2 linked regions of the Ovis aries genome follow. The protein of the gene in region 1 purifies or fractionates together with the protein of each later gene. This does not show direct contact. Links are inferred from orthologs where the notes say so. Each region holds a gene or a part of one and is shown in the gene's direction. Other genes may lie near its edges.

Region 1 (3,915 bases):
TTTTTTATTACCAGTGCCCAACCATTTCTGGCACATACGAAATGCCCATTATAACTCATATGTTGTTTCATAAATTTTAAATCTTATTTCACATACATTATCTTATCTGGTCCTTTCAACAGTTTTTTGAGCTTGACAAAGTTGATTTTAGTCTACTCATTTGGTTGACCAATAAAACGGCTTAAAGATAGGGTCTTAAAGGAAGTTAGGTAGAGATAAGTAATGGGCATAAATCCCTGTCTTCTGACTGCCACTCTCTTTATCAAATCCCACTGAAGGTTAAAGGGTATCCAACAAGCAGGATTATTCTGTGTGTCGATAAAAGAAAGGTAATCAATATAACCGAAGAGGAAAAAACAAACAAACAAACAAACAGGCTTTGTGTAAAGCTCAGCTTGCCTTTCCTCATCCTTCAAAACCCACTCCAGATGAGAGCTATATTTCCCCAGTATAACTCTAGAGCGTAAGAAATGGGCGCTAAACCACTTGACCTGTGATCAAATTGCCGAAACTCCAGTAACTGGATGTTTTATTATTGATAGAAATTTTTTTCGTATCATGACTGTCAAGAGATTTTGCTTCAATGTGCTCTTCAAATTTTCAGACAGCCTGTCGTGATGGATTCTTTCTACTTTGTCTCGTCTGGCTTCTAGATGCCAGAAAGCGAGCCATCATTGTCCAAAGGGGAGAGGCCTGTGTTAGAAGTCTAGCAAGAGAAATGGCTGTACTGCAGGTCTGCATTCTGATTCTGGGCTTTTACCTTGACTCATGCCACTAACCTGGGGGATAAGGCCACACCCACCTCACGGGATGCCGTGAGACCCCAAAAGTCAGAGCGACTTTTAATTTAGAACTTAGAGCAACTCCGAACTAATTCGGAGGTCATAACAAATGCTTTCATATTTTATCACTTGTGCTTTCCCAATATAATATGATCTAACTAATTTTGAAAATAATATGACCTTAGTAAAGCAGAGTTCATGCCTTTGCAACCCTGCCCCACCGCACCCTATCTCCCACCCGCTTTTCTCTCGGGCCGAGGGAGGCTGAAGGGGCGCGCCCGCTGTGACGTGTAATCCTTGGGCGACTGACGTCACTGCCAGGCGCCGGGAGTCACGTCGGCCGGTCCTTCGGCGGGCTTTTCGGGGACAAAGATGGCTATGGCCAGCGATTTCTACCTGCGCTACTACGTAGGGCACAAGGGCAAATTTGGACACGAGTTTCTGGAGTTTGAGTTTCGGCCGGACGGTGAGCGGAAGAGAGGCGACTGCCGCACCTGGGAGTGATGATGAGCAGGGGAGAAGCGAGGCGGAGAGGCCGCGAAGGAGGCAGGGTGGGTGGGTGAGCTTGCTCGGGCTCGCGAGTGTACAGTTGGGTCCAGGAGCTTAAAAATGTAGGAAGCTTACATTGGTTTGAGGGAATAAAAGAGAATTAGTCGGTGTCAATTATTTCAGAAAAGCCTATGCTACCTTTGATCCTAAAGTTCAAGCTATAGTAATCAGAATTCTAGAATCAGTTCACCGGAAGGGACCTTAACGGCCTTCTAGTTAATTAACCTAATACTTGGACATTTTTTGACATCCCCACCAAGCGGTGGATCCATGGACACTTAAAATCTTCCTTTAAATAGTAAATTTCAGACGGCCCATTCATCCTGAATTAATTTACTCGTTCAGGCACTGTATGGAAGGCAGAAAAGCAAAATGCTCTGGAGGTGGGAAGCCCAACGTGTAGAAAAACGAGTGTAATGATGTCTTTCGGGTGCTTAAATACAGTTGTTCGCTATTGGATGCATTAAGACTATTAAAAGGGGGCGCGGTTAGTTCTTCATGAAAGAGTCGGAAATCTTTTTTGAGAAGGCGACCATTGAGATGAGTATTGGAATGAGAAGACGTATTTTCTTGGTCTCTGGGAGAAAAGGCGTCAGACTCCTGAGCGCTCTAAGAGCGGGGAAGGGGGCCCGGGGTGAGGTGAAACTGCCAGTTGCCCAAGAAATATGCAGCAAATTCTATATTTTGACAACTAATTCTCTTTAGATAGTTGTACTGTATATTGAACTGTTATTGTAACAACAGTAGTCCAACTGCATAGACTGTTTTTTTGAATGCATATTATGTGCTGGGCAACACGTAAAAACAAAAATTGAGGGTACAGCAGTGCATAAGACATTTTCATTCCCTTCAAGGAGTTATATTTTGGTGGATGACATAAACATAAAACTAAGTGTAAAGCGGTATGCATATTAGGCGCTGTGTTCATGCTTTGGACAAAGTTCTGGGAGGGCATGAAAGAAAAATTAGGGGAGGTTCACATACTAGCAAAAGGGAAGAATATCAGATACATCAGGTAGAAGTCAGGGTAACTACATTCTGCAATTATTTAGGAACCTTAATCCCTAATCTTCCTGGTTCCCCTCAGGTTGTTTCTAAATTTAGCTCAGGAGCCAAATTTACTTGAATTCTCTTTATCTTTTCTTTCTTTGGACTTCCCTGGTGGCTCAGATGGTAAAGCATCTGCCTACAATGTGGGAGACCTGGGTTCAATCCCTGGGTTTATACTGTCTTCAGGGTCTTGGCATGTGACCAGCTTTTAGCTGGTCAATTTTAGCCAGTCACATGGATGAAACAGTCTTTTCTTAATCTTCAGTTCAGTTCAGTCACTCCAACTCTTGGCGACCCCATGGAATGCAGCAGATCAGGCTTCCCTGTCCATCACCAACTCCTGGAAGCTAAGTTCAAACTCATGTCCATCGAGACAGTGATGCCATCCAACCATCTCATCCTCTGTTGCTCCCTTCTCCTGCCTTCAGTCTTTCCCAGCATCAGTCTCTTCCAATGAATATTCAGGACTGATTTCCTTAAGGATGGACTGGTTGAATCTCCTTGCAGTCCAAGGGACTCTCAAGAGTCTTCTCCCAACACCATAATTCAAAAGCATAAATTCTTCCACACTCAACTTACTTTATAGTGCAACTCTCACATCCATACCTGACTACTGGAAAAACGATAGCTTTGACTAGAGGAATCTTTGTCAGCAAAGTAATGTCTCTGCTTTTTAATGTGCTCTCTAGGTTGGTCAGGACTTTTCTTCCAAGGAGTAAGCGTCTTTTAATTTCATGGCTGCAATCACCATCTGCAGTGATTTTGGAGCCCAGAAAAATAAGTCAGCCACTGTTTCCGCTGTTTCCCCATCTATTTGCCATGAAGTGATGGGACCAGGTGCCATGATCTTAGTTTTTGAATGTTGAATTTTAAGCCAACTTTTTCACTCCTCTTTCATCAAAAGGCTCTTTAGTTCTTTGCTTTTCTGCCCTAAGGGTGCCGTCATCTGAATATCTAAGGTTATTGATATTTCTTCGGCAATCTTGATTCCAGTTTGTGCTTTATCCAGCCTGGCATTTCGCATGATGTACTTTACATAGAAGTTAAATAAGCAGGGTGATGATATACAGCCTTGACATACTCCTTTCCCAACTTGGAACCAGTCTGTTGTTCCATGTCTGGTTTTAACTATTGCTTCTTGACCTGCATACAGATTTCTCAGAAGGCAGGTAAGGTGGTCTGGTATTCCCATCTTTTGAGGAATTTTCTACAGTTTATTGTGATCCACACCATCAAAGGCTTTGGTGTAGTCAATAAAACTGAAGTATATGTTTATGTACTGTTGAAGCCTGGCTTAGAGAATTTTGAGCATTACTTTGCTAACATGTGAGATGATTGCAATTGTGCAGTAGTTTGAACATTTTTTGGCATTGCCTTTCCTTGGGATTGGAATGAAAGCTGACCTTTTCCAGTCCTGTGGCCACTGCTGAGTTTTCCCAATTTGCTGGCATATTGAGTGCAGCACTTTCACAGCATCATCTTTTAGAATTTGAAGTAGCTCAGCCGGAATTCCATCACCTCCACTAGCTTTGTT
Region 2 (3,915 bases), about 41 Mb from region 1:
ACATGCAGCCTAGTGTTGGAGGTGGTCACTTTTTCTGTAGGACATTAACCTAGACCAAAGTGGGGATTTGGAAGAAGATAAAACTGTTGATGAGGAAAAAACAACACGGGGCGGGGGGATGGGGGAAGGCAGGGCAGACACCTGAGGAGAGGAGAGGAACCTGTAGCCGGCCCCTCCCAAGCTGCGGGGGAAACGAGTTTAGCAGGACTTGGCCCTGAAGGAACAAGAGCTGCCGAAAAAAGCGGGGGAGGGAGAACATTTGGGTTCCTCTAAAAAGGGAGACACGGGGCAGAGCAGGGCTGCAAAGGGAGTGACCGTGCGGCTCAGGTTATTGGCGTTTTGCCCGGATTTGGATCCCCAGAGCGCTGAGACTTGGCCGAGCTTAATTAGAATACTAATTGGGTCCGCCCAGCAGCCTTCATCTCACCCTCTGACCCTGGGGCGAGCCCGAGGAGGCTCCCGGGTCGAAGGCCAGAGCAAACTTGGGCCGTCGTCACTTCACCGCCCGAGTCCCTGGGGCCGCCCCAGGGGCAGGGCCAGGCCGGGGCTATCCGCCCCGCCCGCCCACCGCGCCTTCTCAGCCGTAGAAGTCGCCGGCAACCCTGTAGCTGCGGGGATAAATGACCGACAGGCAGCGCCTTCGGCCTTGCACGTCTCTCTCGCGCGTCTCTCTCGGGAGGGTTGAGCTGAGCGGCCAAGGGCAATCGGCGCGCGATTTCTACCTCCCCACCTTCTAAGAGAGGGTCAGTTGGGGTCTTGCGTTCGCCCCCAACACTGGTGCGCCCCAGTGCGTTCCCGGAGTTTGCCTGCCCCGCCCCGTATCCCCAAGCGGCTCTGGAACCTGGGCGCAGGCCAGGACATGAATAACCTTCTTTTCCTCATTTACTAGCCTTCCCTCTCCCCCGCCTTCTGGATGCAGGTGGGCCTTGCCCCCTTTTCTCCCGCAGGTCCTAGACAGACGAAGAGTGCCGGTGAGGATAGGGGCTATGCCTCGGAACTTCTCTCGGCGCCTAGAGAACTGCTATACACGCAGCAGGCGCTCAATACTGGTATCAATGGCAGTAAAAGAGGCTATGGCTCTTATTTTATTTTAGTCTTCAGCTTCTTTACGCCTCCTTCACGTCTGTCCACCAAATGGTGTACTCTCCCTTTAAGACTAAAATGGTGGCTTGTTACGATCTGGACTCCACTTCCGGTGGGGAGGGGGGCGGGACCCCAGCCCGCTCACGCCGGAAGTGGTTTGCGTTTTCAAGATGGCGACTCCCTATGTAACTGACGAGACCGGCGGTGAGTGCGGGAGTCGCGGAGCCGCTTCTCCCATGGCTCTCGGGGCAGGGGTTCGGACTTAGAAAGGGGTCTGTGCCCCGCCCATCCCGGGGCCCCTCCTTTGCCCCGCCCTCCGGACCGCCTTCCCCATTCATTCTCTCCTACGGGGTGTCACCTGCGCCCCCTTCTGGTCTCTTGTTTGGGGGGTCTCCGCTTCCGGTCACCCAAGCCCTGGGGTCCTTCAATGCTGGTCCTTGATCCAGGACCCTCACGAACCCTTAGCTTTTCTCCAGCGCTTGGAAATCCCATATCTCTTTGGGGTTCTTCAGCCTTGGGGGCGCCTCCACTCTCAATTCCCTCCAATTCTTGATCCCCCCCCTTTTCCCCTCCCCCATCTCTCAGTGTACCTGCTTTCTACCCTACCGGAGCCCCATTTAAATACTATTTATCAAAGCTGTATCTGTTGGAGACCTCCTCATTGCTACATAGTTCTTTTTCCACTCTAACTCATCTTAATTGTTGGTTCATTGAGGTCCAGAGGTGTGAGGAGAAGAGGAACCTAATAGAACTTTCAGCTGGAGTTCTCTCCTTGATAACACCACCTGTCACCCTTCGGTACCTTCTCTGGTGATGGTGATAAGAGTTGAGGGATCTGAGGTGGTAGAAGGTAAACGAGAAGGTGTCTGATGGCCTCTCAAGTCCTCTGACAAGTTTATAGAACCCACTATTTCTTCTAGTCAGAGAAGATTTTCCAAGCTGCTGAAGTGTCTGCTGTGTATGTGAGGCTGATATGTTGAAAACTGGGAATCAAGATTTTCGTTTTGGCTATGCCCCATCCTAATTTTCTCATCTTTAGGAAAAATGTGCATATCTATTCAGTGACAGTCGAATAAGATACTGTATGTGAAAGCGATTTATAAAATGCTGTGCAAGGCAAGGCGTTACTGTTTTTTGTAGTCCTTATTGTGTATTTGTATTCTATAGAAGTGTGTGTGTGTGTGTGTGTACTTTGGTCCATGCAGTCCGTTTTAAAATATACCTTTTATGCCTCTTGCTTTTCTTGTTTTCCATGTTACTTCTCAACCCACCTCTCATATGGTATCTAATGACAACCCAAGTCTCTGCTACTTCTCTGCAACATCACCTTTCAAAGTGCTACAACTTCTCTTGCTCTCTACATAGTAGGTACTTCTTCAATTTGCCTCTCTTGATGTGGTTTTTGAAAATATTACTCATTGTCCAGTACATCTCTACTTATTAACTGTTTTCTTTAAACTGATTTAATGAAAATTCAGATATGACATCTCACCTTACCCTCCCAAGAGGTATCTTCTGTTCTCATGTGACCGTGTAGAAGAGAAGGAATCACACTGCTCTTTTGCTTTCCCTTGCTGCTTCCAGATCATCGATCTACCACTGTCACTGTAATTCTCCTGGAAGATGTTGCCATGCAATTGTAGCATTTTCTCTAAAACTTAAGGTCCAACATCCACGGACAAGATGTATCATATCATTTCATTCTGTTTCTCAGTGTCTCCACTCAGCATCTATGGAATACTTATAGATACATATTTATTATTTATTTGGCTGCATCCACACAGGGGATTTTTGTTGTGTCACGTGGAATCTTCTGTTGGGTCATGCAGACTTAGTTGCCCTAGGGCATGTGTGGTCTTAGTTCCCCTACCAGGGATTGAACCTGTGTCCTCTGCATTGCAAGGTGGACTTTTAACCCCTAGACCAACAGGGAAGTCCCTGCAATACTTTTATAATTCCTCAATGTGAGATTGTTGATTTTCCTTTGAATTTTCAAGCCAGCTACACATCAGAACCACTGCAATCTGGACCTACTACATATCCTACTACACAGAACACCACCAGTGACAGGGCTCCCCATCACTTATTTTAACTTCCTTAGTCATCTTTTTTACTTCCACACACCCATAGAATCAGCTTTTTGCCCTCTTTAGTTTCTCTGGTCCTTGACCTGTTTTCCATTTCATTTCATTGAGTCTACCAGCACCTTTATGACTACTATTTCTTTTTTTTTAGTTTTTAAAAAATTAATTTTTGATTGAGCTGGGTCTTTGTTGCTGCACATGGGCTTTCTCTAGTTGTGGGGAGCAGGGGCTACTCTTGTGGTGCTTGGCTTCTCTTTGTGGTAGAACACAGGCTCTATTGCACAGGCTTCAGCGTTTGGCAGCACTCGGGCTCTGTAGTTGTGGCACATGCACTTCGTTGTTGGGCATCATGTGGAATTTTCCTGGACCAGGGATCCAACTGGTGTCCCTCGAATTGGCAGATGGATTTTTATCCACTGCGCCACCAGGGAAATCCCCGTTATGACTACTTTTGATGCTGGCCTGCTGGACCTCTGTGACCAGTCACTATCCTCATTGCTTTCTTCATTCATTTTGATCTTCTGTACTAAGCAAGCACTTCTGTTCTCTTGAATCACACCCACCAACTTTTTTCTTGGCTTCTGCTTCTAGGCCATAGCGCATGGCTAGAGAAAAGGCATGGACTGCAGAACATTTGGTATAATATAACAATGTTAACTTCTGTCAAGGTCATGGATTTTCTCCAATTCTTCTATTAAAAAAATTTTTTTTTAATTTATTTGGCTGCTCTGAGTCTCTAGTTGTGGCA

Evidence for each region.
Region 2: the proteins of MAGOHB (region 1) and PYM1 purify together in Homo sapiens (co-immunoprecipitation; 3 studies listed by BioGRID and IntAct, with this or other methods). This does not show direct contact. The link is inferred for Ovis aries from reciprocal best matches to the Homo sapiens genes MAGOHB and PYM1.

Annotation. Positions count from the first base shown.
Region 1 is NC_056056.1:204,663,518-204,667,432, forward strand, and holds the start of MAGOHB (protein mago nashi homolog 2), read left to right. Parts: upstream 1-1,095; 5' UTR 1,096-1,154; coding exon 1,155-1,248; exon of another isoform or gene 1,249-1,333; intron 1,334-3,915. UniProt on the Homo sapiens protein: Required for pre-mRNA splicing as component of the spliceosome. Plays a redundant role with MAGOH in the exon junction complex and in the nonsense-mediated decay (NMD) pathway.
Region 2 is NC_056056.1:163,592,690-163,596,604, forward strand, and holds the start of PYM1 (partner of Y14 and mago), read left to right. Parts: upstream 1-1,250; 5' UTR 1,251-1,253; coding exon of another isoform or gene 1,254-1,287; 5' UTR 1,288-2,335; coding exon 2,336-2,447; intron 2,448-3,915. UniProt on the Homo sapiens protein: Key regulator of the exon junction complex (EJC), a multiprotein complex that associates immediately upstream of the exon-exon junction on mRNAs and serves as a positional landmark for the intron exon structure of genes and directs post-transcriptional processes in the cytoplasm such as mRNA export, nonsense-mediated mRNA decay (NMD) or translation.